2 linked regions of the Daphnia pulex genome follow. The protein of the gene in region 1 binds, or shares a complex with, the protein of each later gene. Links are inferred from orthologs where the notes say so. Each region holds a gene or a part of one and is shown on either strand. Other genes may lie near its edges.

Evidence for each region.
Region 2: BUD13 homolog (region 1) and G-patch domain and KOW motifs-containing protein-like share a complex: the UniProt entries of both Homo sapiens proteins name them as parts of the minor spliceosome. The link is inferred for Daphnia pulex from reciprocal best matches to the Homo sapiens genes BUD13 and GPKOW.

What each region holds. Positions count from the first base shown.
Region 1 is NC_060019.1:12,601,734-12,617,887, forward strand, and holds BUD13 homolog, read left to right. Parts: upstream 1-6,025; 5' UTR 6,026-6,048; coding exon 6,049-6,161; intron 6,162-6,263; coding exon 6,264-7,656; 3' UTR 7,657-7,709; downstream 7,710-16,154. Other genes in the region: probable G-protein coupled receptor Mth-like 4, read left to right, coding at 1-609, 678-936, 1,005-1,052, 1,114-1,144, 1,206-1,375, 1,442-1,589, 1,661-2,042; glutamate carboxypeptidase 2-like, read right to left, coding at 2,274-2,463, 2,537-2,629, 2,684-2,768, 2,829-2,970, 3,034-3,138, 3,211-3,301, 3,363-3,531, 3,589-3,735 and 9 more; follistatin-related protein 1-like, read left to right, coding at 8,587-8,658, 8,981-9,011, 9,096-9,374, 9,456-9,696, 9,779-9,891, 9,964-10,027, 10,103-10,448; uncharacterized protein LOC124191303, read right to left, coding at 11,787-12,056, 12,128-12,647, 12,710-13,634, 13,697-13,840, 13,898-14,104, 14,164-14,242, 14,300-14,542, 14,604-14,787 and 2 more. UniProt on the Homo sapiens protein: Involved in pre-mRNA splicing as component of the activated spliceosome. As a component of the minor spliceosome, involved in the splicing of U12-type introns in pre-mRNAs.
Region 2 is NC_060019.1:129,053-145,670, forward strand, and holds G-patch domain and KOW motifs-containing protein-like, read right to left. Parts: upstream 10,986-16,618; 5' UTR 10,889-10,985; coding exon 10,734-10,888; intron 10,670-10,733; coding exon 10,384-10,669; intron 10,325-10,383; coding exon 10,218-10,324; intron 10,148-10,217; coding exon 9,964-10,147; intron 9,906-9,963; coding exon 9,773-9,905; intron 9,708-9,772; coding exon 9,600-9,707; intron 9,421-9,599; coding exon 9,251-9,420; intron 9,187-9,250; coding exon 9,031-9,186; intron 8,969-9,030; coding exon 8,837-8,968; 3' UTR 8,779-8,836; downstream 1-8,778. Other genes in the region: uncharacterized protein LOC124189688, read left to right, coding at 3,629-3,760, 3,820-3,910, 3,979-4,091, 4,154-4,369; protein phosphatase 1 regulatory subunit 37-like, read right to left, coding at 5,368-5,628, 5,692-6,357, 6,425-6,557, 6,617-6,746, 6,815-6,965, 7,039-7,158, 7,224-7,370, 7,438-7,547 and 1 more; trehalase-like, read left to right, coding at 12,356-12,447, 12,511-12,851, 12,924-13,069, 13,142-13,425, 13,491-13,791, 13,855-14,045, 14,121-14,165, 14,233-14,401 and 2 more; 3-oxo-5-alpha-steroid 4-dehydrogenase 1-like, read left to right, coding at 15,124-15,289, 15,345-15,522, 15,596-15,762, 15,825-15,869, 15,932-16,206. UniProt on the Homo sapiens protein: RNA-binding protein involved in pre-mRNA splicing. As a component of the minor spliceosome, involved in the splicing of U12-type introns in pre-mRNAs.

The sequences.
Region 1 (16,154 bases):
AAATGTGTCGGCCTGGTGCTGGGTAGCGCCAACCCATTAGAAGAATTAAATACCTACACGTCTGAATTAGTGATGGACCCTTTATTTCAGTGTACTAATGTTGATGGTTCGAAACTGTTGTATTTCACTACCGGGGAAATATCACAGAACGGGACGATTGTCGAACCATTTTCCAATCGAACTCTTTTAAAAGGAGATTACTGCGTTCAGCCGTCGACGCGGATGGGATTGACCGCGGTCCTTTTCTGTCGCCGCCCAGTTCAAATAAGAAAGTGTTGTCCTTTGGGACAGTTGATCAATCGCACATCGATCGATCAATGCGTCGTTAGCAACCAAGACGGACCACCGTCACAACTGGCAGTGACGTACTTTCTCGAATCGACAGCAGCAGCCAATTATTATGGTGCGGATGACATCGTAGTTCAAGATAATGCTTCGCTCCAATGCGATTTCGATTACAACGTCTATTTGCCGGGCTACTTTATCGATCACGGATTTAAAGTCAGTCAGGAATTGGGTCTCTATGTCAAGAAGGCCGCTTACGGGCCCATTCGTCACTCGAAAAATTATTGCGTCGATAGCACTGTGTACGCAAATGGGACGGAAGGCGTAAGTTTAATTTTATTCTTCTAATCGATTTGTTATGAAATTTGTGTACAGTATTTTTATTCCTGCAGCCCATAGCAATGATTTGTCTGCCGAAAAGCTTCTACGTTATGCGTTGGCTTTTGAACAACGTCTACTCGATTTTCAACTTGATTTCAGCTGTTCTTTTGCTCATCACCTTCCTGGTCCACTTGCTGCTGGCCTCACTGAGAGAGAACATCCAGACCTACTCCATGCTCAGCTTCTTTGCTTGTCTGATTGTCATGCACTTCCAAAACGGCATCTTTTTACTCTCGAAGTACGAGCCGCATACCTGGTGCTTAAACAAAGGTGCGAAAAATGTGTCATATTACTGCCGTATTTTACTTAACAATGCTATTTGGACTCGGAAAATATAGCTTGCATAAGCGGTTATTTTCGGTACGCTTCATCCACATGGATCACAGGTACAAGAATAAATTTCACACGGAATTGGACAAATAATAAAACGGTTCATTTATTGCACAGTGATGGGATACAACATTTTCCGGCAATTAAGGTATGCAATAACAACTTACTACCAGCAGGTTTTACAGTAATACTACTGGAATTGTTTCAAGGACGAAGATATCAAGAAGATTAAACAGACGCGAGCTGATGAAAGCTTACTTCTGTCGCTGCCTGTATGCCTGGGGACTGCCATTGGCTTTGATTTTGATTTCTCATTACTACAAGGAATACAACGGATGCCCAACCAAATTGAAACGCTGCTGGTCTTGCGATTCTGTCTGTAATACCCTTAAAATTACAACATTTAACATTAGTGCTGTTAATGAGATTATACTTTTACAAATAGCTAGGAACCTTTCGCAAGCGCCCAATATTCTCCTCCTGACCGGAAATTTAATCTTCTTCATTCCAAGTGCTGCGAAAATTTACAAGAGTCTAAGTTTTCTTCAGGGATCGGTACCTAAACATGCGCTGAGTAAAGTGGAATCGAGCCGGTGATTATTTATGTCTCAAATTACTTACACCGATGTGTAATCTTAAATTCGACCCTACTTTATTATTTTAGTATCCACACGATATTTCGGCTGTTCGTTCTCATGCAATTCTACACAGCTCCGAGAATTATTCAGTGGTTCGTTGACTCCGATCGAGCCCATCCCGAACTGTTGATGCTCTGCGCCACCATTTTCTTAATGATCGGCCCGTCCATCTTTTATTTGTTCGTTTGTCGACGCGGAACTTTGAACATGATCAAAGCTCACGCGAGCAGTTTGATTTGTCGTCACCGACACAAGTTCCCGTGGCTTCATTCGCAGACCTACCAAGTGAACAACGACGGCACTGCAACAAGCACCAACAACTCCGCAAGATCAACAGTGAGCACTATTTCGTCAGGATTGGCTCAGCATTCAGCTAGCACTTATCGGCTCTACCCCATCGATAAATAATTTCGGCATTCGGCATGTATATTTACCCTACTTATTACACAATTTGAACTCGAAGAATTTGATTAACTATATACTTTCAACTAATAAAAGTGTAGCGTAGTACGAAATCGAATTTATTTTTAAAAAATTATGAAATTAAACTAGAGTCAAAATAGAGATTAATGTTCGTGGATAGCAAGCGGCTTATTCGTCCACGTAAAGACACAAAAGGTGTATTGTAGGGATCACTATTTAGAATCCTTCGCGGAGAGAATCAGCCGCAGCTCCAATCAAAAAAGAAATTGCGGAAAGGTGTTGCTTGATTTGGCGCCAAGTATTGGGCTGCTCCGTCCGGTTACCAACGGTCTTGAATAAATCTACCAAGCCCGCAAAGGTGTCACTTGAGTATTTATCCACCGAGCTAGGAGCGAATACGATGTGACTGCCAAAGGAAAAAAACATTACGAGACAATTACAACGCAATCCTCGAATTATATTTATTGTTATGTCCATACTTGAATTCCGGACGTCCGGGGAGACCGTGGGGATCGACAAACCCTCTTTCGAGTTGTATCAATTGATCGTTGATTTTACGAATGGCTAAAGGACTAGAAAATAAAGTTTAAATTAAAATTCAATTAAAAACCCCTAGCGCTTATTACTTGCTCCTGTCCAAACGTGGTAAAATGGTGTCAGTGAAATATTCGGTGGAATTCCTGAAATGTGCAACGGCTTTCCTGAAATATTCTGATAAGAATAATGGTAAATTAACTCAATTAAAACAATTTCAACGATTCTGTGTGTTACCGAAAGTGGCTCCGTTAGCGGCTGCCAAGCTTTTGTATCTCGACTCGATTTTGTCAAGATCTTTTTCCAGAAAACTGGCGTAACTCACAACGTCAAATGGAAGAACCACCGACTCACTGAGATTCAAGGTCAATTCGGTCATCTGAAATGTTAAGAATTTTCTTGACGGTTGCATCATCATAAGCTAAATGAAGTGCCCACATACCAGCCGAGCAACGGCAAGGTGAAAATGAAATCCCGGATCCATTAAATTAGCAACCGCGTGATAGGTCTCGTAGAGAGTGTGATAAAGGGGGTAAGATCCAGCTTTCTATCCAACAAAAAATTATCGTCGATTAGCGCAAAGTTAAAATTATTTGTCATACTGGCCACAAAATATTACCTCCTGATAGTCGTAGTATAAATCGACACAAGGAACGCCCAGAACATGGCTGAAAACGGTGTAATCACTTCCGCTTCCTAAATTACCTATGCTACACTCGTTGGCATATAAAATATTAGAATAAGATTCCAATAATAAATAAAAGAACTTACCGCGGTTGGGTAGGATTGTTGAGATCAGGATTGGCCCACAACCAAGTATCGAAAACCGTTTTGCGTCCGGCTTCCACTTCCGCTGGATTAGGATTGGGCACCACTTTGGCCGCCTCTCTGATTGCAGAGTATAGCGAAGGCACTGTTTGACTCTTTAAGGTGTAATTTCCTTTGGTTCCAACGAAAAGGTCAGCACTGATTGTGTGTTTTGTGATTCATCAATTACCTTCCATGGCGGAATCGACATTAATGTAGGCCACTGCACGTTGAATGAGCACCTTTGCGTGTTCTTCGGCCCATTCGTACGAGCCTATCATGCCGTATTCTTCAGCTCCCCATCCGCAAAACATTAATGTGCGCCTTGGACGCCAGCCTACATAATACATCGTTACGTGATTGCAACTACAGAGCAATTAACGCATATTAGATGTTATTACCTGATTGCATTTTGATATTGCCGAAAGTGCGGGCCATTTCTATTAAAACTGATGTCCCACTGGCCGGATCAATGCCTCCAAGAGTCCACGAATCCATGTGATTGCCAACTAACACGTACCTGTCTTTAATTCAATCCCAAAATGGTTTTGGATTATCAGCAAAATAATTGTGTGTCAAAAATGATTTTACCTGGTTCTTCTCTACCGTATAATATTCCAATCGTATTATAGGCTGTAGCTAGCTTGTGGGTCATTCTTACCTAATTGGGAACACGTTTGTGAAAAAATTAATTGGCAAATTACCAATTTATTTTCGAGCTACCTGTAATCGAACGGACCATTTCCTTTGGGTGAATTTCGACCCCAAAAAGTAAGTTGCATTCAAACCACCTTGCCAGTCTTCCGGTGCAGGATTTTCTGTAGACATGGATCTAATAAAAATAAGAATGGAAATGAAATTCATTGACTATATTTGTATCAAAGGTTGTTGACACAACAAAAATGTCAACGCTCACACACCTTAACAAAACTTCTGCCTCGTCGTATCCGATGGGCTGAACAGGAATTTTGGGTAGTGGAGCTTCAGCTTCCGGCAGTCTGTAAGCGCCCTCTTATAACGTAAATATAACTGTTTTGTTAGTCTTATTGTGTTATTATTACTCTTGTTACATCCGCTCACTATACAGCTTTATATACCTAAGGCTGGGTACAGAGGGGTCAAAGGGTCGCCGTAACCCAACAGAACTGAACCACTTTGAACAGCCATGCCCGGAAGTCGCGTTGTGTTGGGATAGACAGATGTGCGCCCTTCCGGGGCGAAATCTTTGGGATCAGAAAAGAGTATCACTCCAAGAGCTCCTCCATCTTCGGCGGATTTCACCTGTAGTACAAATATCAAATGTTAGTAATAATTCAATACATTTTTAAAAATAATTGATTACGATATTGCCACGAAAAATCGCCCCATATCGAGCAATCACAATTCGACCACGAATGTCTATGCCGAGAGATTTCAAGTACTCAAAATCTTGTTTCCGACCATAATTTGCGTAAATGAGTTCCCCCTATGAAATGGTGTAATTAAGTTAAGTGTCATCAATAAAACAACGATAGAAATTTAATTTCACCTCGACAGTTCCGTTAGCTGAATAAGCGTTAAAATTGGGTTGAACTAACGGAGAGAATTCTTCGCTGGAAAAGAGTGGCGTCTGACGTCCTGAGGTGGTGAAGTTCACCTTGCCGTTGGAGTCGAGTAGCGAGACCTGATTGGGGTTGCTCATGTCTGGGTAGGAAAGCAGCACCTTGTAAGGAACCAATTGGACTTCGTCTAATCCTCCCTCGACGAAACGATCGCGCACCCAACTAGCCACTTCCAAATCCTGTGGAGTTCCAGCTAAATTCGGTATACTGCTCAAATATCTGTGACAATCATTTTGGGAGTTAATTAGACAATGAATCAAATTTGTCTTTTGATTAGCGATGATGTTGGACTTACTTGAGATATTCGCCAATATTTGATGCACTGAGCTCCTCCATCAAAGTGGCAGACATTTTCGCCTTCTGAGGCGACACGTCGTCCCTATCATTTCCGATAGCGTAACGACCGATGAGAATTCCTTTGTCAGGTGGAAAGATGAAGTCAAACCAACACATACAGTAACATTTCAAATGATTACGATACCTATGATAAGACAAATTACAGAAGCCGTGCAAATTAAAATCCAGTTGGGTTTTTGCGCCATCGTTTCGCTGCGATCACTTCTCCACACCCTTCCGTTCTCGTTTACTGTACCTCAAATAATAACGACGGTTTGAAAAGAAACAGGTTATTAAATAGCTGAAAATATGACAATGAAAGCACGGGAAGTGCGGGTAGAAAGTCGGGTTCGAGATTGCGTGTTCCATATGCAGCGGCACGCAAATACCTGGACAGTAACTAAGGTGATTTGACAAGCCAACCAGACCATCGGTTGCTTGTGGTTTAACACAAGACAGGTCGCATGCTTAACTGACGGGTGACTCTTGTAAAAAATGTAAACGCCATAGGCAATGAATACATTTCTTTAAAATCGCTATTACATAAATCTATTTTTTTTAAACAATTTTTTTTATTTTGAAAACTTCCCGATAGATGGTGTATAGTTTCACGCGTTAACCATAGGTGGAGCTTGTATTCATATTTCGTGTGAAAGCGTTGACAAACGCGAGGGATTACGGTTTGTAAATATTCCCCTGAAATTATTGTAAAAATGAGTGCTCCTATGAGCAAATTAGAATATCTGAAAAAGTACATGTCCTCTTCGAAAAAAGAAGAAAATAAAGTCAAGAAAAAGAAACTCAGGCCCTTACTGAAAGCCAAAGGGTAAGTCAGGCTTTTTGTGAACTTTAGACAATACACATCATTTTTTAATTTTAACTTAAGCTTTTTCTTAATCTAGTCAATTTGTTTTCATTTACTTATTAGGGGCATCAAGATCGTTGATGAAGAAATAGATTTGAGGAAGATAGCTGCAGGATACGAGAAAGATGAAGACCAAATTGACAACCAAGAAGATGCTCCTCTGGTGGCTGGGGTTGTCGATAATCGTTCCATAGAAATGATAACCAAACAAGACTTTGTGGAAAGTTCAAAGTGGAAGAGACTTGGTGTGGATGAAAATGACAAACCAAAATCCATGTCTAAATCAAGTGATCGAGATATTGATTCAAGTGACAGTCACTTACCAAGGAAAGATTCCACTGCCTTGAAACGACCAATCACAGTGAAGAAAGAAAGACATGATTCAGATTCAGATCCCAGTCCTCCACGTAGAAGACACGATTCTGATTCAGATGCCAGCCCACCTAGAAGAAAGCGCCATGATTCAGACTCTGATCCATCTCCACTTAGAAGAACGAGAAAAGACTCTGATCAAAGCCCACCACGAAAACGTCACGATTCAGACTCAGATGCTAGTCCTCCTCGAAGAACAAGGAAAGACTCGGATCAAAGCCCACAACGAAAGCGACACGATTCAGACTCGGACCAAAGTCCATTAAGAAGGCGTAAAGGCTCCGATTCCGACCAGAGTCCACCAAGAAAGCATCAAAATGCTGACGGTGATCTCAGTCCTCCGCGGCGGAAGAAAAACGTTGATTCCGGTGCCCAAATGCGCATCAAACCAGATCCAGACGGAGACCTCAGCCCTGAGCGTCCTAATAAATCAACATCACGCAGCGGAGGAGCTTCGGAGAAACTGACCAAAACCCTAGATGGAAAGATGGCCGGCCTTCAGACTGGCAGAGCTTTGCGTGAGGAGACTGATGCATTACGCAAGAGAGAAGAGGAAGCCTTCCGCAAAATGGACAAATCACTCACTGGGCAGAACGCCACGACTGCCATCCGAGCTGGCAAGCTGCGCCAAATTGAAGCCAAGCAACAGGTTGATAAAGAAAAAGCCGAGAAGATTGCCAAGCTGCAAGAAGCTTACCAAAAATGGAACAAGGGTCTTAAACAAGGAGAAACGCATTCGACGCAAGTTGCCGAAGCCATTCACGAAATGTCCAAACCGCTGGCTCGTTTCGCCGATGACGAAGATTTGGAAAGGTTGTTACGCGAACAAGATCGTGAAGGTGATCCCATGGCTGCTTACATGGCCAAGAAAAAGGTCAAGAGCGGTGGTGACGGCAAGGGGAAAGCCGCTAGACCTGTCTACAGGGGCCCTGCTGCTGCTCCCAATCGTTTCGGTATACTACCCGGCTACAGATGGGACGGGGTTGACCGCTCGACTGGCTACGAGAAGATGTACTTTGAAAAACAAAACAACGCCGTGGCCCTTCAGGAGGAAGCCTACAAATGGAGTGTATCCGACATGTGATTCCGATGATGAATTTACCTTGACTGAATAAAGCCATGCAATTACTTTTAGTAGCCAATGACGCCTGTCCTTGTTCTTAACATTTCCCTTTTTATTACCTCGACGGAATGGGGCCCATCCATCAACATTCAAAATTGCAGGGTTTTTTTCAGATTCAACGAGAGGCGCGCGGAGGAAATTCCATGCGGATGGCGTCAACACTTTGCACATTTTCCGAGTCGCGACTCTACCAGCAGTTCGTGAAAGTTGCCCAACCCATGTTGTAGAGGAGGTGCGGCTATTCATGAATCGTCCGTCGTGGTTGAATCGGAAAATTCTATCCGGAAGATGACACCCTTTCCGGCCTTGGCTGCCTTCAAATCATTTTTCTTCTGTTGTTCAGCAGCAGAAAAAGAAAAGAAAGAAAAGGCGTTGGGGTCGTTTCTGTTGAGTGTGTCGAGTGCGCTATGGCCAGATGGCGCTTTGGCTGAGTGTGTCGAAAGAGAAGGGAGGAAGGTCACGGCACGAAGTGGGCCGGCCGTTTTCAGGTGTGCCCTGTTGTCCGTGTTGTCTATGTTTCGGGGCTTTCTCTCTTCTCTTTTTTCTTGTGTTTAGTCTCCTCCTTTTTGATTCCCAGTTTATCCAGACCTTCTCTCTTTGCCGTCTCATTCTCTCTCTCTCTCTCACCACTGCTAAAGCCATTGGCCATTGGCTCGCACGACGAGACGAGAAAACATCACATCTCTTTTCGTCTTTTGAAAGTACCTACGCAGCCGCTCTTCTCCGAGCTTCAGTCTTGGTCGTAGCCACCTGGTAACACGGCCGCTGCTGGTGCTCAGTCTGTACCTCTTTGCTGTTGACTCTCTGGGTTTTTTGCCATTGTTGTGAAACGAGAAGAAAATTCCAGATTTGCAATTATAGAACTGTCGGATTGTTGTGCAGAAGTGAAAAATGCTGCGGATACTCGGCCTCGTTTCCCTCTTTTGCATCCTCTTCCAAGCTGCTTTGGCATCCAATTCTGAGGTAAGCACAATCATTCGAAAGAGTATTTTATTTTTTTTTCCCCATTTCTTCTAAAAAAGGATAGGCTTATTTATCTCAAAACGGTCACCAGTAAATCCTGTTAGGAATTTGTGTTTTTTTTTCTTCCTACCAAGCAGTGGCATCTATGATACGGGTGAAAATTCTAATCTTCTTCACGGCCTGGTCGTCACGTTAATTCTTTTTAGTTTGACCCATCTGTACAGTCGAAATCTTTTTTTCGTATGGAAATGTGATGGTTTGTTTTGTGTATACTTGTGTGGGTTACTTATTCCCTTCTCTGTTTCTTTTTTTGTTGGTATAGGAAAATGCGCTGGATATGAGCTTGGGCGAAGGTACAGTAAACACAAAGCATTTTATCTCGACAGAACGTTTCGAGTTGTCTAGAAATTTATTGATGGGATCTTGACGATGAATAGATGAATGCAGTATGATGGTATGCCGGGCTGGAAGAGAGTGTAAGGTGGGTGCCGATGGCGAGGCTGCTTGCGCTTGCCTGGCCACTTGTCCGGATCATTTTGTCCCCGTCTGCGGCAGCAACAATCAATCCTACGATAACTTTTGCTTGATGCATCGCGATGCCTGTCTGACGGGCGTTCACATCAGTCTCAAGAAAAAGGGATACTGCTCCAACAAGTCGATCAAGAAAAAGTCCAGCAAAAAGGATAAACTTAAAGATGAAAATCACTTTGAGCCAGGTAAGTTTTATTCAATATTTATGCTTTTCGTGATGGACAAAATATTCAAATGCTGTGCTTTTTTATTGGGGGGAAATCCAGTGGTGTGTTTCCAATGGGAAAGGGATGCTCTACGTCGCCAAATCATCAACTACTTCCGGCATCATACCGCCGACCAGAGCTGGTACCGACCCGACTTGAAGAGTTACGAGAAGCAGTTTGCCCGTTTCTTCATGTGCGATACCACCAAAGACAACTTTGTCGATGCCAACGAATTAGCCGCTTGCGTGACTGAAGTCCCTTTCGCTCTGCGAACCACGGCCGCCACCAACGAGCTGGTCAAGTAAGTTTCGTCTTAATTTAAAAAAAGCCAGCTTTATTCCATTCATGGAAAACATTGTTTTATAATTTGTTCTACTTGTTAGAGTGTTGTGTGTCGACGCCATAATCGATTCAGCCGATACTAATTCCGACTGGCGGTTGGACTTTGAAGAGTACAAGACTTTGATGGATTCTAGTTTCCAGCCGAAAGAAAAGCGTGAGTTATTTGAGACGTGTTTTGTGTAAAAATCGGGTTTTTCTTTCATTGCTTTCCATTTCCATTTTATAGTGTGCTCTTTGGAGGGCAAAAAGTACGAGGACGGCTCCCAAACAAAAGTCGATTGTAATGACTGGTCAGTTTATTTTAACGTTACAGACTATTAACGCGTGTGGAATGGCGATTTCATTGAGTACCGTTAATAAATTAGTGTCTGCGCCTGCGGCAGCTGGGTGTGCTCTTCCAAGAAGTGTGACGAAGAGCTGAACGAAATCGACGACCTGGATGAAGACGAAGATTTGGACGACGAGTTGGACGAAGCTGAGGACCAGAGCGAAGACAGCACCAAGGACGAAGTCAAGATTCTCAAAATTGAGGAGGATATCGACCTGAAAATTGACGATCCGGATGAGGATCAGCCACCAAAGATCAACTCCGACGATGACGACGATATGGACGACGAAGAAGACGAGGAAGATGACGAAGAAGAAGATGAAGAAATCGACGTGGAGCCAATCAAGAAATCATCTAAAAACAAGAAGAAGAAATTGACGTAATATTTTGGGTCTATTAAGTCTTCTTCTGTTTAGCTTTTTTCCCCATAGTTAGCTTCTGCTTTTAACGACGTCGTCGCGTGCCATTTATGGGGAGCTACACTCTGCTGGCCTCATACTTTACGTACATTTGTTTTTTTAATTTCTACATTTTTTAAAAGCCCCAATTGTCAGTGCGTTTTCTCGCCTGGTGCTGACATTTACGAGTTAATTTTCTTTGTCTTTATTCCACCATCGAGCTAACATAATACCTGGGTTAAATTCCACTTGACGCTTTCGTCCCTACGGCGCTGTACAATACATTCCCCCGGCAATCGAAGTTCTACGCTCCTTGATGTCGAGTCAGCTGCATATTTTTTCTCGGATAATACTCTCCTAGTTAAAGGCGGACATTGATGCATCGATCGGGTGGCGAAACAACATTGCATCGCCGGTGAATGGGTGGGGATGTATCCGTGCCCTGAAAGGCGGCCCCTCGACCAGCTCACGCTCATTTCGTTTGTCACCTAGGTTTGGTGTTGCGACGAGTAATATATACTGTGTTATCTGATAGAGACAGTCTCACAGAGAAAGCAGAATATTTAACAAGTCTATTTCGGGTTTGGTTTAACCTTATTTATTTATTTCGGTGTGTAGTCAGAATTAGTTTTTGTGGCCAACACATGTTTTCACAGTGAATAATAGAATCTGTTTCGCTTTTTTTTTGTAAGTTTGTGTGGGCGGGTGAGATTTCCTTCAAAGGAGGTATACCTTTTTGGCGGCGTCGTGATCTCTTCTTTATTTAAGAGAAAATGGGCGATGTTTAAATTAAATAACCGCCATGGCAGTAGCCATGGGAAACGGGCGAAGAAGAAGAGTCCCGAGTTGCCAAAACACGCAAACCTCTTGGTCATTATTGCCCCTGGATACGCAAGCCTGTTTCATCGTGAATGCACGATGATTGCTTGATGAGAATACGGGAACGAGGATTGCAACGGAGGGTCTAGTATTATTAATGCAAGTAGAAATAGTTGTGTGTGTGTGCAAACCTTGCACGCAGATGTTGATCATGCATTTAGCTAGATTGCTTGAAATGGTCTAAACAACAATATATATCCTTGTGCTTTATTCGCATTTTCTTTCACTTTTCATTACTGGATTGGACGCCTTTTCAACTTAAAAAACATTTCATGGAACGGATTGACGTAAAAACTGGGACACTGTGAGACGAGACGGGTTTCAAATGTCATTTTGGACCTTTCCACACTTCTTTGTAAATGACTAATGCGAATAAACTTGAACTAGAAAAAAAAGGAACACGAGAAAGAAAAGAAAATCTCTTTGCAGAAGCAGAGAATAAACTTAGACCGGCTGATTAGGGGAAGGAGAGCACCACATGTCTCGGAGCTGACTGACGGTAAAAGGCGTGCCCATTTCTTCCGGATAGTCACTGTCCAGTTTGGCTCTCTTTTTTGGCGTTGGCAACTGGCGTGACCCACATTCCTCCAGACTTTCTGTCTCTAGATCCCAGGGTTGAGCGTGTTTGAGATGGCCAAAAGATGAGTTTGCCTCCATGTCCTCGACTGGCGGCTCCTGTTCTTCATTATTCATTTCGTGGCAGTAGCGAAGCATCTACAGATAACACGAGAGAGAAAATTGAAGATGAAAATTCGAGCGATAATAGCTTATACAGAAATTCTTACTTTGATGGTTTGGCGAAGAGTTGGAATCCGATTACAGAGCGTTTCCACGGGCAGCGTAACGAGTTCTTTTGCGTCAAAGTGCTGGGCGATTAACGGCGCAGTCACGGCATTCAATTGCGGAATATGAAGTAAACGTTTGGCTTCGGTACTGAGCGGCTGCAGATGGGATTCAATGTCTTGATTGATCTCGTCTAATGCAACGTCTTTGATGATGAACGCCACTTGATGATAATTTAGGGCTATGCGTGGTTTCAACAGAAACCGGGTCTCAGTCTTCTTGCGATCTTTCTTCTCGTAGAACCGGGCTAGTCCAGCGAGAGAATGCCATTGTACAGGCGGTTTGGACGAACTGATCACACCTGGGGCCAATATTATCACCCAGCATTTCGTGCATTTGAAACTGGCTGTCAAAATTCTCAAACGGGTTTCCTCAAACTTTTCTTGTTCGTGCACGATCAGCAGGGCTGTGTTTGCACTTAACAAAACATCGGGTTGATACTTGGAAATGTAGCCCAAAAATCTAAAGCGAAATAAAATGTAATGATTAGAATTGTCCATTACAATGATAGTCTAATTATTTACTCGTAATCGCATTCATGAATTATGAAGATTCCAGAATTATCATCTGCTTCAATAGCTTCCATAAGTTCTGCATTAGTCGCCAAATGTGAAGATAAAACCAATGGAAGAAGAGGCTCGATCGATCCAGAATTATCATCTTCGATATCTGCAACTGAAATTCGGTCGATTTCATTGGTAATAATTGGACTCTTACTAAAGTCTTCTTCTTCTTGGCTCTCTTCATCAGAAAGTTGTGAAACAAAACAGGACTCGCCGGGAGGTTCGATCGGAATTGCATCATGAATATGAAGGAGGAGCTCATCTTGAGAATTGATTAAAGGTTCCTTGTTGGCAGTCGATTCGACTTGTTGTTCGATAAAGATTTCAGAACCGTCTGAATCATCAGAGTCATCAACTTCGGGCTCCTTGAAAGGAGATGAATCTAAAGGGTGACCTGTGGATGACATTGACACGAGACAGGCTTCTACCATGGTTTGCTGGTCAGGAATGTTCTCCGCATCTCCCGGGCGAACTGGTCTGCTAATCTCTATTGCCTTTTGCGTAATTCGAGCAAATTGCCTGTCCATCTCTACCGACGGCCATTCGTAATGGATGATGAGAGAAAGCATACTAGCAGGAAAGCTTTTGGACACTTGTTCCGCGACGAAGACGGGATAATTACCACTCGGTAAAAATGACCCTTCAGATTCAGGACACTCAATTTGCGGATCCACCTGGCACTGGACGTCGACGCTAGCCAACAGACGTTCAATACGTTCAGCTATTATGTTTGAATGACGATATAGGCGAATCCAAATTTTGCTATTGTCATCTTCGCTGAGCTGACGTAACACAAGCTCCTTTAATTTCACCAGTTTAGGATGACACTCGTCGAATCTTTTTGGACGAAGCCGTAAGAGTTGCAATATTAAAGTCTTGTAGTCACCTGTTTCAATAACGGAATGGATTAGTGAATTTGTTTTTCAAATTAATAATTCAATTAATTACTTTTCAGAACCGCTTCGTGGGTTTTTTCAAAATTCGCAAGTGTTCCGTAAGCAATATCGTAGTCTATGTTCAAAAAAATATCGAGCGATTTGTTCACTCCATGCAAACTCAGCAAAGCGGGTAATATGTTTTTCAATATTCTTCCTGTAATTGTTTTATTTTGATTAAAATGTTCGATTTTGTTTAACGTTGATATTGTACCATGATTAGTTTTGCCACCGGGATCTGAATTGTTTTTTGCAATCGCTTCCTGTAATTTCAAGAGATAATGGCGGGTAGTTGTGGGCTCGATAACCGAATGAGATTCCTTCAACAGATCCTCAATGAGCGGAGAGTTTGAATCCTTTAAAATGTGCAAGCATGTCGATAGGTGTTCCTCCATTAAGTGTACGGAATTGACCGCAAAACCTGCCAAACTGATATTAATAAATGCTTCACAGCAAAACGAAAAACATAATAATAATAACCTGGCAATTCTAGAGTAATGCGCTCGATGTTGATCGACGTCTGGTCCGATTCTGCAGCATGTTCGTCGCTATTTATGACCTACAAATTGTGCCTCAGTTAAATTTACCGTTTATTATAATGCGATAATGAGTTTACCTCTAAATTAATTCCCCCACCGGGATTGTCAAGTACCGACCCCTTCGCTTCACCATCTGAAACGATGTTTAGATCTTGAACTTGACTAGCAAGCTCTAAAAGGTAATCACAGGATGGTGTTTCAGGATAAGAAATTTCTTTCAAATTCAGTTTCAGATTAGCTAGTGAAAGACAAACTTGAGGCGGGAAATTTTCATTCGATATGGCAGGTAGCAGACGAGGCGGATTCATTTTCAGAGGGTCCTAGTTGAAATATAATAGTTAAGATGGTAAATTTTGCAATAATAACAGAATAAGATTATACATCAAACTGCAGTGGTTGACATGCAACGTGTTTTGCTTCTTCATACAAAGTATTGACTGGAAAGTTCTCTTCACAAATAAGACCACTGAAAGGCTCACATTTCGCTATCTGGAGATCTTTTGTAGATAATATTTCAGGGTTGAAATCCCAATTATCTGTAAACTCTGTGTTTAAGTTTGGGTCCCTGTAATATTCAATCTTACACAACTTAAATTTCTGGTAAAAAAATGTGTAAGAAAACTTACAGCCGAGGAGGAGTAAGGGCAAAGTTTAAAGTAACTTCTGCATCATCACGATGACTATCATGCTGGAAATAATTCTCTTCTAGCCTGATAGAAATTGTTATAAGATACATAAGTTTTTAATTATAAAAAATATAGTACAGTGTGATTTCCAAATCAGATTGTTGCTTGAAGAACTGTTGATAATCAACTTGACTTATCACGTCAGTTTTGGTCCAAGTTGGTCGTAGCATACTGGTGCATTTTTCGTGCATAGACTTCAATGTTGATGAGTAAAGATCTTTAAACTGATAGTCACCACATCCAAATGTAGGATTGATAACAGTCTTTTTCATTTTTAACCAAAACAGTGTCTATGTTAACAAGAAAAATGAAAATACAAACAGACTTATTCAAGGTAACATAACTCCACGTGTGATTTGAATTTCAGACGTATTAAACGTTTACCGACAGATGGCGAAAGTATTCAGTGGGTATTGTTCTCATTCTTGGCGCCTATATCGCGAAGATCGGTGGTGCAGCAATTGGCGCCTTCTTTGATAACGTGTTCGTGACTTTGGTCACTTCGCTCCTCAGAAAATTAGCAAAAGACTGTTGAAAATGTAAATCAGTGGAGAATTGAAGTCAATATTTTCTTTCTCAGAGTATGAATTCTGGATGTGAAATGTTCCCAAATGAATTCAGTTGAGTTTGATGCCTTAAAATTTGTCTTATTCCTTCTCAATTTCTGAAACGTAGGACGTATAGCCTTAATTTCTTTCTTTGATAAGTGCACGTGTGTCGTATGGCCTTTTCATCCCTGTACTTTGATTTTGATTTAACTTAAAGTTCAGACATGTTCTACAATTTTCTTGTTTATTTCACACTAACCACCTGCTTCTTTTTTGTATCTGTAGGCAAGGTGTTCATTTTAGACGAAGAATGAAGAAGAAGTCCATGATCATTGATCAGTTACATACTACAATGCAAGATGTTCGCAACAGTAAGGTAAACAAGTAACAGCATCCTTTACAAGGTTTTGACAAAACATTGCATAAATGCAAGTCATTTCAAGGAAACCTTCGATTCTCCTGTTTATTAACTATTAGGGTATACCCCTGGTTTAAAAATTCTGTTGTCTTGTTTTCAATTTATTCTTACTTTTGATTGTTTCTGTAAACTCGTAACTAATTGTTGACATTTTTTTATACAGCATCCTCTTTAATTGGAGAAACTTCCAGTGTCGACCGAGCTAAGGATCTCTTCGATTCCCCCTTCTTCAATGTCCTCGTGTACGCCCATGCGAGTGTGGGTGTCTATTAACGAGGAC
Region 2 (16,618 bases), about 12 Mb from region 1:
ATAACTAAATTTATTTTTTAAACATTTATTTGTTACAAGAATGATGCGGTCGTTTCCGCAAGCGTTTCATCGCCATCTGGAGTTCAGCGTCCGAAAAAGACCCGGCTGCGTGCAACGGGGAAAAGCCAATATATCATGGCCACTAACGTTTTCCGTAGGATGGCCGACACGATGAGTGGACTAGCAGCCTCCGACTTCGAAGTCCAATTGCACTTCTTCCTTAACATTCACAAATTAATGAAAGAGGGGAAACTCCTTCGAGTAATGGAAGACGAGAAGCAGGAGACCGAGAATCCTTCGAACAACTCACTGGTTGATTCTCCGACTGTTGCGGAACGTATTGAAACATCTACAGCAAGGACCAAGGCAAATATTTAAAACAATCGAACAAACATATGGTATTCTAACAAAAAATACCTTTATAGGTTTTTGCTCAACCTTGGGCATCGCTCCGTCTTCCCGTTGCCCCTGTTAAAAGAGGCAGGCCAAAACAGGACAAAGGATATTTTACTGCTTACAAAAAGAAGTCGAAGACAACGCGTGACGATGTTTCAGTGGTGGATCCAGATCCAGATGAGAAGAACGTGAAGCCTAGGAAACGATTGAGAACAGAAAACGTAAGCAAATGTCTTATACATCCTAACAATACGTATAATAACTGTACTGTGTTTCTCACTTTTGTTTAGATGGGTGGAATTATGAGCAGAGAGATGGAGGAAGTGCTAATTTTGGCTGAGGAAGAAGAACACATGAAGGATTATTATAATCAAGATTCGTCATCACAGCTTCAGGAATTACCTAGTACATTAGAGGTAAACAAGTATTATTAATCCATTGAAAATTATCCAAGTTAATACTAATTGATCTTCAATAGATAACTATCGACGCTCCCATCATACCTACACCCAGCGTAGTTTCACCTGTAAACAAAACAGACGTTCGCATCACCACAGCCGCTGATGTTCCACCAGTCGATGAAGTGGACGTGTCCATCATTGATCACAACTACACATTGATCACAACTACACCCAGCGAAGTTTCACCTGTAAACAAAACGGACATCAGCATCACCACAACCACTGATGTTCCACCTGTCGATGTCACACTGATCACAACTGCATTACCCGATAATTCTGTAGAGGTAACAAAATGATATTTGGAAGAATTTCAGAAAAATGATTCGAATTTCCTTACTTCCTTTAATAGCTTGTGTCTTCGACTGATGGTTGCCTCCGAAAAAACCGAAATAGACGGGACAGGAGTAAACAACCCTATCTTTTCTTGGACAAGCCGCAAGTATTAACAAAGACGAACAAACTCATGTCAGGCGACATCAACAAGGCGCAGGCAATCCTGAAAAAGCAACATCCAGAAATAGGTGGTCTGTTCTGCTGTACAATTGGAGGCAGCCTTGAATTCCCCCGAGCGCAGGGCGATCAATGGTTGCAGATCGTTCATGACGGATCGGATCACTGGGTATTAGTTGCCAAAGGGTTTATTCAACGTGAACATGTACTGGTGTATGACAGCAGTCCCGGCAATCCATGGAGAAACGAGCATGTCCTAAGTTGTATGTCCAGTCTCCTCCAATCACCTGAAAAGGAAATGACATACATCATCAAAGATTGTCAACGGCAGAGCAATGGGTATGATTGCGGGGTATTCGCGATTGCTTTTGCTACGAGCTTGGCATTCGGAGAAGACCCTGCAAAAAGAATGTATGACCCAAAAAAGTTACGCCCTCACCTTATTCAGTGTATGGATTCCGGCGAACTAACTCCATTCCCATCAGTTGAAAGTCGTGCAACAAGGACTCACGAGACTGTCGAAGCAGAATTATTGTATTGTACCTGTCGCAGGACAGGCTGGGAGAAAAATGGATTTGAGTTTATCGGATGTGACACGAATGGTTGCGACGGTTGGTTTCACAAAATGTGCATCAATAATTGTCCTAAAGATATGAATGATAAATGGTTTTGTATTAACTGTCAATTGTAACTGTCTCAAATAAACTTACTGTACAAAGAAATGTTGCTTATCACCATTCGTCCGTTTTCCCGCGCATACACCGACCAAGACACTGAGCAGCGTGCAAATAACAGCGGTGTCCTCACGAGTTTTCTATCGAGAAGACATGGCGACCTGGTCGTTTCCTTTTGATACGATCTACAGTCGATATAAGAGTTATTTTGACTTGGAGGTTGTAGGAAATTAGGCGTAAATCAACTACCATTGGCAGAATACATGGCCTAGCCAAAGTCATAGTAAATGACATCATTATGACTGGATGAAAGTCGAGGATTTTGGGATCAATAATGTTGGAGAATCACCATGTACAGCAGAAATTTATTTCCTATCATTCCCTCTTCATTAACACACCTATAAATGAGAAATAAGCATTGTTAATCAAACTAATTTCAAACACAATGTTCTATGAACCTGGTTACAATCAGAATGCCATCGTAGAGTGTATGGCCTGCTGGAAATCACCAAGTACAGCAGAGATTTAATTGCAATCATTCCCTCTTCATTATCACACACCTATAAATGAGAAATAAGCATTGTTAATCAAACTAATTTCAAACACAATGTTCTATGAACCTGGTTACAATCAGAATGCCATCGTAGAGTGTATGGCCTGCTGGAAATCACCAAGTACAGCAGAGATTTAATTGCAATCATTCCCTCTTCATTAACACACACCTATAAATGAGAAATAAGCATTGTTAATCAAACTAATTTCAAACACAATGTTCTATGAACCTGGTTACAATCAGAATGCCATCGTAGAGTGTATGGCCTGCTGGAAATCACCAAGTACAGCAGAGATTTAATTGCAATCATTCCCTCTTCATTATCACACACCTATAAATGAGAAATAAACATTGTTAATCAACTAATTTCAAACACAATGTTCTATGAAACTGGTTACAATCAGAATGTCATTGTAGAATGTATGGCCTGTTGGAAATCACCAAGTACAGCAGAGATTTATTTCCTATCATTCCCTCTTCCTTTATGCACACCATAAATATTAAATGTTAATCAAACCAATTGACTAACGAGAAATTGCGAATCCAATTGAACGAGGCAATTGCGAAGAAAGAGGCAAAAAGTTTTAACGAGGTGATGAGAGTCAAAACACAGAATCAGTCGTTATTTGATTTGCCATTCGTCGCCATAAATTTCCGGAGTGCAATAGCCACTTTTGACGCTAGAGGACTCCGGACTCCGGAGTGTAATAGCCACTTTTGACACTAGAGCGCTCCGGACCCCGGAGTGCAATAGGCGTGACCGTTTTTTTCTCTTTTTCGTTCACAATAATGGCGCGCAACGGTTACTCCTGGTGGCAGTTTTGTGCAATAATGCTTGAAAAATAAAACACTTTTTTGTATATTTTAATAAGGTTATTGAAGTAAATTCATTACAGAAAATTTGGAAAAATTTAATTCAATTGAAATTGCTTTATTTTATGACTAATTCTTCGATAAAATTGTATTTTAAAATTTTGATTGCAATTGTTGATTTGGCACTGTTGCTTTTTTCTGAAGTTTGAAAATTCTCTAGAATCGTCTTGTTTGAAGTCTGAGTGTCTTGTAGTTTGATTAGTTTGATTACTCGATTAAATATGAATAATTCACAAGAAATGTCGAATGAGATATTAAAAATTGTAGAAGAAGCTTCTCAGAAAATTTTGAATTCTCATAAAACTACAGATGGGGATGATTCCATGTCGAGAACAGCTCAGCAGTTTATGGAAGTATGAAACACCTCTGCTTATTATCATGATTCATTCTAATTTGTTTGTTTCGACTTTAGTTGTTTTCAAAGAACTTGACAACAGCCATTGAAATTGCTTTCGAAGGAGATGATGAAGCAGCAGCAGGCACAGAGATGAATTTAAAAGAAGGTAAAAACAACTTATTTTGCTATTGAGTATAACATCAACATCTTCCAAGACCAAATTAAATTTTGCAGATGAAGAGGAATACAATGAAGCTATTGAGGATGTCATCTATAAACGAAAACAAGGAACCAAGATGTGCAAAGACGTCCTAGAGAAGACACTGGCCATTGAAAAGAAGGCAGCGGTATGTCTGATCTAATCTTTTATCTGATTCATTGGACTTGATGGTTACGTTGTTTGTATCAGTTGGCTGTGGAGGTCAACCCAGGAGTAGTCAATGTGCAAGAGTTTGAGAGACAGCCAGTACCATACAAAAAAGAGGAACTCAAAGTTTCAACCAAGAAAACTTTGAGCAACATAAAGTCCTCTGCATTTAAAGTGCTTGATTTAAACCACCGGGTGGAAGAACTCGTAGAAGCCGCCAACATTATCTCAAAAGAAGTTGATGCTGTTGAATTTTGATCCACTTATTCAAATTTGTGAATGTCCCAAAGATGTATGGATACCAGGTATTGTAATTAAAATAAAATGAGTTATATGTTGGATTATTTTACATGTGTATTATTGGGGTAGTGTAGTTGTATCAAGTAATTTAAGTAATAAAGTGCGTTTCTAATACGCCACTGATATTATAGTAACATCAAATTGAGGGCAATTGAATCAATTCTAAAAATCTTTGGCCAACATGTTTGTATTTTTCGAAATGTCGATGAAAACAAATACTGAACATATACACACACATTAATTTTTTGTCTAAACTTTTGGTTTTTGTACTGTCGAGTCCTTTGTGGTGACCAATATAATCGAGGAGCAAAATGATTTAAAAATTTAAAAAAAAAGCCAAAATAAACAAACAAAATCGTGCGCGTGATGACGTCAATGCCCTGATAAGATATTAAACAAACAAAAAGAGAAATTGGACTCGGACATCAAAACCATATTCCTCAAACGGAGAAAAATGCATAGTAGATTTTGGTTGTTTTTTAAATGTGTGTGAATCTTTCAAAGACGGAAAAATGACCAACAGCAATTTGAAAAAGGAAAAGAAATGGATATAATAATAATAGAATGTTTGAAAAAAGTGCGTCCCGTGAAAAAACAACAGATTTTTATCCGTCAACAACAACAAGGGGGAAGAGCGACGCACTGGCTGCTACAATGGATGATGTATAACAAGAAGAGGAAGGGATTCATAATTTTTTGGTCAACAACTCGGGGGGGTTAGGTTGAATGGCGGAAATGGATATCGGGAAAAAAAAGAAAAGGTATCGAAAAATAAACCACCGGGTTATTTTGTTTTGGTACTGTTGTTGTTGTTGTTGTCTGTCCTCCAAAATATAATTTGTTTAAGTATATGTATAGAATATAAATCTGTGTGTCAACAGATGGACCATGTACGTGTGTGATAATAAAAGAAGAATGGGGAACCGGTATTGTTTTGCAATGAGAGAGGGTGGAGCTCAGGTGGTTAAAACGTCAAAACCGACGATAACTTTGCTGGGAGAACTACGAATGAGACTGGTGTAATCGGTGGCAGTTGAAGCATCTTCCTTGGTGCTATCGGCATTGTTATTGGATGAGTGCACTCCACCAGGAGCAGGAGCAGAGTCACCCGTGTCTGGCAGTTCAATTTCGGGAGTTGTCACAGCCACTGGAGTGACGGTGAAACGGGAGCGTGGGGAAGGTAAAGGCGATTGACTCGGTGCATCCACTCGAGTTACCTGGACAAATTGATAAATAAACTTTGAATAATTTTTAATTAAATTAGCACAGTAGAATGTCACCTTAAATCTTCCTCCGCTGGGTGAAGGCAGTGGACTGGGTGACGGACTGGGCGAAGGGCTGGGCAATGGACTGCGAAGTTTCCGCCTGGGCTGTTGATCATCTTCTTTGTTATTCAATGGGAGGAGCAGCTGCTTATCGCTCGGCGGGACCAGACAAGTGAGCGAGATTTTGCGAGACATGACCTCATCAGCATTGGCTTCTTTATTGTTGCTGGACCGCTTGTTGAGATCACTGGGCAGGCTGGACAGAGTGTCACTGTCGTTGGCTTCAGTCTCGTGAGATGTGCAGCAAGTGGCGATCTCTTCAATCAGACGCTGATACTCGGCAGCATTTTGATGGTGGCCGGAGGTAGTAGAAGGAGGAGGATCGATGGGATCCAAGTCCAGTTGGTTGATGGTCGGACAATGTTTGAGAGCAGCAGCCAGGGCCATCAATCCTGCCAGTGCGATCTGGTTTTTACGCAAATCAACCCGTTTCAATTGCGTTCCAGTAGCCAACGATTCGGACAGCGAAATGATCCCTGGGCACGTCAGTCCGTTCTCCTGGAGTCCCAAATGCAAAAGCCAACGGTTGCGCTCCAATCCAGATGGAATGAGTCCAATAATTCCTTCGTCGCCTAATTTATTATGACCCAAATTAAGTGTTTGCAGAGTCTGGTTAGTTGCCTGTTTAAAAATAATAAAGCTGTTTAATTATCGTGAAAGTTGTTTAATGTTGTAATTTAAAATGTACCAAAACTTTGGCGAGAGCGGGAGACGATTCGTGAGTGATACCGTTGTTCCAGACGACAAGCGAGATCAGTCCAACATTATCCAACAGAGCATCGCAAATGTAACCCATTCCTTTATCTAAAATTTCGTTGTTCCTAATATAAAACCCCAAAATTATTATCAAAATTTTGTTGTTTAATTAAATTTGATTCACCTCAAGTCTACGTGCTGAAGTGACGAATTTCCAGTCAACAAAATACCAAGCTGTAAGGCGTCGAAAGGCGTTAATTTGTTTTCGGCCAGGTGCAGCTCACGAAGATTCCGGTTCATTTTCAATGAACTTGCTGTTGAGTAACAACAACTTGTTATTGTGTTTTGTTGGTTTATATTTAAAAATTTTAGTAAACAATACCGATGATGGCAAGCGACCTTCCGGTGAGACCACAATCGTTCAAGTACAAAACCCTTAGGCGAGAGTTGGATCTCAGTGCCCTGGCCAGTAAAGTTGAGCTGTGTTCCGATAGCCCAACTTGAGCTGCGTCCAGCCATTCCAAACACTCGGTCTATATGTACGACACAATAACAAACGTGAGTCATGGGTTAAAAAAGATTGCACAGGAAAAACAATAACCACACCCTTTTGATCATGCGACAGCACGCTTGCCAGCCCCTGCTGGTCATGTTCTTGTTGGAGGCGATGCTCACATGGGTGGCTGCTTCGTAAAATTCGATCATGTCGAACAATGCAATCAGACCCTGATGATGGGAGAATATTACAGCATATGAATTAAACATTTTTCAGGCCATGTGACGGGACTTACATCATCACTGGAGTGGGCATCTCCAATATCCAAGAGTTTCAGAGGAACATTTTTCAAAACATCCTCCAACGATTCACAGTCATGGGAATTCAAGTTGCGTCCTCGCAACGTGAGGCTGGCCGAGCGTGGACGACTCAAGTCCAAAGTCTAACTTCCAAAAAGGGAATAAATTAGCATATATTTTTCCCCATTTTATGGGTTTGTACCCAATGACCTTTAACTGCTCAATAATGTGCTCAACAGGTTCAGCCTCGTTCTTCTTGCACGAAGAGGTGTATGCAGCAACAATGTTGATATCACTTTCTTCTTCGGTAAGGATACATTCTGAAATAATTTTAAACAAATTTATTATCTGGAAAGTTACAATACATAAAAGCCTCAATATACCTGGAACGTCAGGAACTGTGGGCTCTAGGTTCTGGACCAACTGGGTCTCGTCAGAAGGGAAAGAAACTCTCTTCTCCAACATCCTGCGTTTCTGCTTGATGCCTTCGAAGGGCAGGTCAGAAGACTCGTCCAGATTGTGAGAAAGATCAAGTTCATTTGGGGTTTCATTTCCCGTCTGACATGCACCTGTGAAACGTAACCTGCTGCTCCACTCTTCAATTTCTTCAGCCATCTTAGAATGAGTAGCGAGAATCATGACCCACACCTGTCAAGAGGAGTTGGACAAGTTGAGAAACGTGTTCGACGCAGAAAGAAGACATATGTTGGCAATAATAAGTCTATATAGCAACAAGAGTTCTTACGAGCGATCACCAGATAGCATTTCCATCCAACTGAAGCGAGTGCGTATAGATTTCCCCGATCAAAACCTCGAGTTGAAAATATTATTAAATGGGAATAACATGTATAGAGAATTGACACAGTGACCACGAGCACGACGACAAGCGAAAGGGGTATATGTAGCTTAGCGTTATATGTTTTTTTGTTGTTGTATGGCGTGATAAGTCTCGCAGTAACAAGGCAACGACCAATCAGCTGCGAGAGTAAGGAAACAACTGAAGAGCGGCCCTGTTACTGAGCTGTTACGTAGTCTGCACACAGCAGACCTTCATCGTTCGTTCGTTCGTTCGGACTTCGGCGGGAGTCATGAGAAATGACCGAGCGAAAAAAAGCCCCCCCACTGTCCCCCGTAGGGTGGTAGCCTATACGCTTTTCTCGTGAATTGATTGAGCTACGCTGTGTGGGTTCAGTGTACTCTGTACCGAAAAATATCGATGCAAAAATAAAGGGGAACACGCACGTGAAAGGTGTGTACCATTACCGTATTCCCCCTATAGCTCGTGTATTTTTACGATGCCGGTGTATACTTTAATAAATCCCATTGAAAACACACAAAGTTCTTGCCAGACTGACTGGCGCGCCTTGTACTTTCTCATCTCTTTTTCCACTTGAAAAATTTGCATTAGCGTAACGTATCATTAAAATGATAAGAGAGAGAGCTTTCGGCAAACATTTGCATAATGAGAGATTGCCACAGCTGTCTGGGTCACGTAGCAAATTATGTGAGAGGTGCAACAATGAAGACAAAAAGGGTGAAAATCGTTATGAAATTAAACACGAATAGCACATTTGTTTTTATTTAAAAACCAAGTCGAGTTATTTTGTGATTACAAGTTGCGCACATCTCCCGTGTATTCGCAAATGTCGTCGTAGTCTAGTTGGAAAACTTCATCGCGATCCGGTAGAATCTGGACGGTGGCCGTGTATCGTTCCTTGTCCCTTTCAATCACTTGGCAGACCTTTTTATTAAAAAATAAACAAGTTAACAAAAACAACATGTGTGTAAATTTCAGCTAACAACCTGTCCTTTTCGTTTGCCCTTGACGACCATGACGTAAGCGGGATCGCTACGCGGAATGACAGTTTCCAATTTAGAAATGTTGACGTTTTCCAAAAGTTTCCCGTTTTCGGCTTTGCAAATGCAATGATTCTTGGAAATCACGTCCACCACAACCATCTGGAATTCATACCAATCGGCGTGAGAGAAATTCATCTTTTATTTTTAGGACATTTTTATTTACTTTCTGTTTGTAGAATTGGCCGTCCTTGAATGAAGAATCGACGCAGCGGACTCGCAAGAGTGGGTGAAGCCAAGGTTCTCGTTTCTCGTCAGAACCTTTCGACGACCGATTTTTAGAACGAGATTCTTTCTTCTCATCACGGCGCTCCCGACTGCCACTCCGACGACTACCTTTTTTAAAATAAAAGGAAAAAATTATTATAGTGGAATTTCATTACAAACTGATTAATTAACAACGGGAAATTCTGACGGTACGGGCTGGGCGGCTGGCACGAGAACGCCAATGATAAATGTAGGAAAGCGTGACCTTGGGTAGGAGGAGCTAGACAGGACAATCTATCACTACTTACGATGGCTAGGACTATGCTTCCGTTTCTTTCTGCTCTCGCGATCATTTCTTTCCTTCTCGTTTCGCTCCTTGTCCTGTTTCGTTTTGTACTCGTCGTATTTTTCCTTGTCTGAGAATTAAAAGAAAGATGATTAATTTCAAGAAGAAATTTGGCTTGAAATAGATTTAATTTACTCAGAATCCTGGCGGAATCACGATATTCTTTAGCAGAAACTGGTTTCAGAAAGAGCTCGCTCATTTCCAATTCGTTGCTTCCGACAGCCATCCGCACCAGAGCACGACCAGTGTTTGCGTCCATGCTAAGAACCTGATGAAACAAATTTAGTTATAATTTAATGGCAGATTTTAATAGAATTTTTACTTACTTGTCCATATAAACCTTGATGTTTCCCGCTGAGCAACTGTACATTTGCACCGATAATCACTTTGAGCTCTTCTTCGCCTTCTTTTGGCTTTGTTAAAGCTTTAGCTGCATTTTCTAAAACAGTACGGTCAGCCCCAAGACCAAGTCCTTTAGGCCTAAGTTTCACCTCCATGGGAGCAGCCACTCTTGATTGAATAAAAGATAATTTGATGAGAATTCAGAACCATTAATTAATGTGAAATATGGCAATGATACCCTTTTCTAGAGAGACCGATACCCTCTGAGGCTTTCCAACCCATTCCTCTCAACATGGCCATTCCATAGGCTTCCACTGGGATCGCTTCATAATCATCAAGTGTGGACTAGAGAGAAATGTCAAGAGTTAATTACATAATTAAGGTGCAGTTGCGAAATTCAGTACCTGATCTGCACGGAGGGAAACATCTACTTTTTCATCTGTTTCAAAGCCAGATGGAACACGATTTTGCATAAATAGGGGGATATCAATGTTGGAGGGTACGCCATTGCCTCTGTTCTCCCAGCCATCAACAGCCTTCAGTGTTTCTTGCAGGATTTCTTTTTCGGCTTGCTTGTCCAAGTCTGATGCTTCTGTGTTCTCGGTTTTGGTATCACTGCCAGGGGTCCTCCACCGATTCTTTGTTATAAGAGGAATAACCAGTTCCTTTTTGGGTGCTTTTTTGATGGATCTAAATAGAATAATGCAGAAAATGAATGTAAAATTAATATTTTGTGGCGGGAAAAGCAACATACCCATTGATTTTGTTGTGCTCGACAGTTTTGACGAAATCAGTCTCTTCGCGAGTTTCTTGAGTCGTATCCAATAGTTTCGACTGAGTTAATTTCACGTTATCATGTTTCTTTTTTGAACTAAAGGCAAAAGACACACCAGGCTTGGTTTCCGACATAATGACACACGAATACGTTAATATCAAGGATTTCCTTTTCGCTCAGAAGATGTCTTTATGGAAACAACAAAAAAGGTGGGGAGACGCAAGCAGACGAACATTGAAAAATCAAATCAGACAACTGCCGTGCATTCTGCGGTGGTATTATAACTACGCGTAGCTTCTGCATAATTTTCGTGTAATTAAAATATCTAATTAATTCGCTAGGCGAAGGCGATGTTTCGTCGTTTTAATTAAATTGTCTGAAGGAAAAATTCAATTATGTTACTAGGCAACTGCAACTGATTTGATTTCATCCTGCCTGACGCTGATGCCGCCAGGCCACAGCCGCGGTTGCCTCTAGTGCCTACTTGACTTTGATTAAAATGTAACCGAGTACGTAATTAAAAGGAAATGGAGCACGAAGATGAGAAGATGATATCATGGGCTCATTTTGTAACTGCCTGTAGCGTCACGCAATGGAGATGCTCGCATCATATTGACAAAGTTGTAAGGCTTCATCAAAGAATTGAGGTCACTATATATTGATACTGATGCACGTAGACCATTGAAGTGACATAATCATGTGACACAATCAAGTATATTTATTTAATAAAATCGAACGACCGGGGCCTTGATTTTTTTGTAGGCTGGTTCCGAAATTGACCAATCGTAACCTTCGGTGTAATCTACCAGACACTCGCTAGATGTCTGCATCGGACGAGTCAAGCAGACGACAAAATAAAACTCTAGAACAAAAATATTTACGCATTTACGAGCATCGACGATATTTGTTCATTCCAAAACAACTACGTACTGCCATAGAGTGTTGGGTTTGATTTCGTCATTCACTCCTTCCTCTATGGTACTACTAACACAGTGCTGTGACATAATTCCAACCGTATGTTATTACAAAACACATTTATCCTGACCTGAAATTTATTTGTACCAAGTGTCTTGCTCCCATTTCTAGGAAAAATAGGGTTAAGGTTACTCGACAATTTGTTGCTTAACTTGGAATAGATTGGCTGTTTTCCCAAATAGTAGTTTATTTTTAAAAAAAGATTGATTTCATTTCGTTCAAGGTCTCCATGTAGCCACTGGCCCTATAAAAGGACAACCATTCGAGGTTGTATTAGTAGTAGAATAACCCCAAGAGACGATCTTTCTAGTCTGTAATTTTCCATTACGACGACGACATTTCAAATCTTTTACCAAATTCAGAAGGCCGGCAATTTAAATGTTTTAAAAGTTACCTCCAAGCGTTAAAAAAAGTCCCCGTATACAACAGGTAGTAAAAAAAGAAGAAGGGCGTCGATTTACCCTTTCTTTTCTCAATTAAAAGGGTCATTGACGTTTGTTAACCCCCCTTCGATTTAAAACGGTGAAAAAAAGAGGTCTTTTACGGTCAAGGTCATCGACTGTCGTCCGCCAAACCGAGGAACTGCGTTCGACTTGTTTGCCTTTTTCGCCAGTGCATTCTGAACAATGGTGCGACTCGTACGTCTTTTCTGCTTGTTCATCTCTTCTGCCACTTTTGGACTTGCCCAAGTTCAATCTCTTCCTCCGCCATGTCCAAGGTAAATTTCATCTATTTCTGTGTGTGTTGGCAATGATTAATCTTTTCGTGTTTCTCTCAATAGTCCCATTTACTGTCACGGTCCACTCTTGCACACGGTTCAGATGGCCAAATTGTATCACGACTCCAAGACTTTTGTCGACAAGAAATTACGTTTCGACCCAGAATTAGTTGCAGCCAATTTCACTCAACTGATGAACCTTACAGACAATAGTCCATCCCAAAACGATCTCGTCATCTTCATCAGTCAACATTTCGAGAGTGAAGGATCAGAATTTCAACCGTGGGATCCTTCCGACTGGCTCGACAGCCCGTCATTCCTTCAAAATATCAACAACACACAATTGAGAAATTGGGGGAAAGAATTACATGGAGCCTGGAAATTCCTAGGCCGACAAATTAAAGGTACAATGCAAATTTTATTACAAGTTTTCCATTTTTTTAAATGACACATTTGTCGTAATTCTTATATAACAGATGACGTCAAAGAACGCCCCGAGCTATACTCGATGATTTATGTGCCTCATCCTTTCATCATTCCTGGAGGAAGATTTCGTGAAATTTATTACTGGGATTCTTACTGGATCGTCCAAGGTCTTCTCATCTCTCAAATGAACCACACGGTTGGGTCTAAATAATTTTCTCTAAAAGTTTAAATCAATATTGACAAAACTTTTGATTATTTTGTCTATTAGGTGAGGGGAATGTTGGATAATTTCCTGCATATGGTGGATGTTTACGGCATGGTCCCAAATGGCGGTCGCATCTACTATCAGCTGAGGTCGCAGCCCCCAATGTTGATTCCCATGGTGGATCGTTACATCAACGCCACTGGGGATGTCGAATTTCTTAATGGGCGGTTACATCTCTTGGAAAAGGAATTTCAATTCTGGATGGCCAACAGGACAGTCTCCGTCAAGGGACACACTTTGGCGAGGTTTAATGTCGAATCGGATGGACCACGACCCGAATCTTACATGTAAGAATTCCTTGATTTAATTCGTTTTTAATAGAGGTTAAACACATTTTTCTATCAATTCCCAGTGAGGACTTTCATTCGTCTGCCCACATGAGTGAAATCGATCGTCAAGACTTTTACATCAACATGAAATCGGGAGCTGAATCCGGTTGGGATTTCAGTTCCAGGTGGTTCATTGTAGACGAAGGTCACAACGAAGGCAATTTGAGCCACATTAGTACCCGCAACGTCGTGCCGGTCGATTTAAATGCCTTTGTTTGCATGAACGCTCGAATGCTTTCGGAAATGTTCCGCAAAGTCGGAGATGACAGAAAGGCTCAAATGTATCACGACAAGTACATCGAGTGGAAAAGAGCCATTCAAGCGGTTAGAATAATTCATTTTTAACCCAATTAAATTGATTAATTAACTTTTGATTCTTTTTTCTAGGTGCTGTGGAATGAAGAACAAGGCATCTGGCTAGACTACGATTTAACTAATAATTTGCAACGACCATATTTCTACGCATCGAATATCGCTCCGCTATGGGCCGGTTGCTTGGATGCCACTCCATCCGGTGGCGTAGACTCTGCTGTTGTCCACAGAGTGATGGATTATCTGGAGCACAGTCAATCTACAAAGTAATAATGATGATGTTGATTATTATCGATGTGTTTGTTCACGTTTTTCTCGACTTTTCGATTTTTTCTTTTTAGATTTGCCGGAGGAATTCCGACATCCATGCAACACACTGGCCAACAGTAAGTGTCTTATTGACCCTACGGTTTATCTACTGAAGCCTAAACAAATATTTGCCTTGTTTTTCAGATGGGATTTCCCTAATGGGTGGCCGCCCCTGCAACACATGTTGGTTGTCGGTCTTGAAAATACCGGTGACCCCAGAGCCAAAGCCTTGGCCTTTAATCTCGCCCAAAAGTGGCTGATTAACAATTACGATGCATATCAACAAAGTATGCCCAACGCCATGTTTGAAAAAGTACGTCCAAGATAGTCTCTGATTTAATTTAAACGGTTCAATTTTTTAACAAATTCCTTTCCATTGGTTGTTTAGTATGACGTGACTGTTGTTGGACTACCAGGAGGTTAGTTGAACAACACAATTAATTTTATTCAATACCCTTATTAATTTATCAATTTTTGATGTGCAGGTGGTGGTGAATACGACGTTCAGCTTGGCTTTGGTTGGACGAACGGTGTCATTTTAGATTTCCTGCACATTTATGGTGATCGATTGGTGACTGAACAACCGACAAATACTTAATTATTATGTAACTATCTGATTTCAGTTTTTGTGATGAAGAGAAAGAAAGAAAAACCACTATGATTGTAAAATTTTATTGACTATTTTATGTAAAGTAATTTCTTTTCTGTTTGGTTAATTTCCCTGTAATCCTTGTTACATAATTTGCATTATTTTGTGTTCCCGATCCTAGTCTCATCGCCATATTGTACATGATTTCAATTTTTTGTAATTTTTCTTCTATTTTTGGGTTTAGAATACAAATTGTGCACTTACAAACCAACTGAATAATTAATTAATTAACAAATCAAAATAATTTGAATATTGCGCCAGAGCCATTTTAGTAAATGTGGCAATGTTCAAAACGTGATAATCGTCTAAAATGTAAACATCAACGTCACTTCTTCAAACCTGTTTTGTTAGACGATTCAAAGCTTTGCAAACAAGTGGCCGCCAAGATGTTGGAAAAATTAAATTCTTGTGGGGATGAATTTATTACCAGCTATTTGCATCCTTTATTTGGTGCAAACAATGATTCAGAAATGTTTTCCCAAATGGTCTGGATTTCATTCTTCTACACCCTTAGTGTCGCTGTTAGTATGGCCTTATTTCCAGCACCATATGGTAAATTTAGTAACTTGTTTTGAGTATTATCAAAGTAACCATTTTTTCATTAAAGGACGATACAGCAGCTCAAAGTATGGCTTCCTGCTTCCTGCAAAAATCGCTTGGATAACTCAAGAATCTCCATCTTTCATAGTGCCAGTCATTTTATTGCTGACTACATCTTCAGCGTTTTGGAATTCCACAGTGAATAAAATGCTCTTGATAGGGTTTATTATACATTACGTAAACAGGTAAAAGTTCTTAATTATTCCTTGTTTACTCAAGTTCTTTTTGATAAACCGAGGTTGACTATATCTATTTCAGGAGTATTATCTTTCCCTTGTGTGCTCGTGGCAATGAAGATACCCCTTTTATACCATACATCTCAGCAATGGCATTTTCCATTTTCAATGGGTTCATGCAGGGGCATTACCTATTAAACTATTATCTGTATGATGAACAATGGCTAACTTCTCCTCAGTTCATCATAGGTATTTTTAGGGTACAGGAAAATTTGAAATAGATTTTATTAATGTACCTTTTGTTTTTTCAGGATTCACCATGTTTTGTGTTGGAATGGCCATCAATATTCATTCAGGTACATTGATAAAAAAGCACTTAATAGAAGAAGTTAAAAGTTTTGTAACTTATTTTCAACAGATCAGCAACTGATTCACTTGCGCAAACCTGGAGAAACTGGGTACAAAATGCCTGTCGGCGGATTGTTCGAGTACGTGACTGCACCCAATTTCTTTGCTGAAATCATCGAGTGGATCGGTTTTGCCATTGCTTCCTGCAGTCCTCCAGCAGCCGTTTTCGCTTTCTTCTCCACAGTCTTCCTTTGCTACAGAGCATGGCACCATCACCATTTCTATTTAAAGAAATTTGACAACTATCCGCGATCCAGAAAAATCATCATTCCATTCGTATTTTAAATTGTTGGAGTGTTTTGTTCTTTATGTTTAAAGTAGGAGAAATCTAGATGCTATGGCCAAATGTTTTTATGCAGATCAAACATAATTTTCAGAATAAATTGAATCAAAGAGATTCGGTTCTGTTTTAATCGTGGTAAAAAATTACGTACATTCATTCTGCTTTACAATTGAAACTAGAAATGTGTATTTGACCAGCAAATGGGTAAGATTAGATACTTCAAAAGGTCAGAACAAATTGATTAACACATATTTTCGACTTTTGAAAAATAGTAATCAGCTTCTTTAGTACGGCGGTTGACGAGTTCTTGAACAACTTGGCCATTCACGTAAACCCATCGCAAACATTCGTCGCGGATAGTTGGGTTGTCAGGGCCAGACACGCACCTTTTTCAAAAGAGTTGAAGTCGAGAAC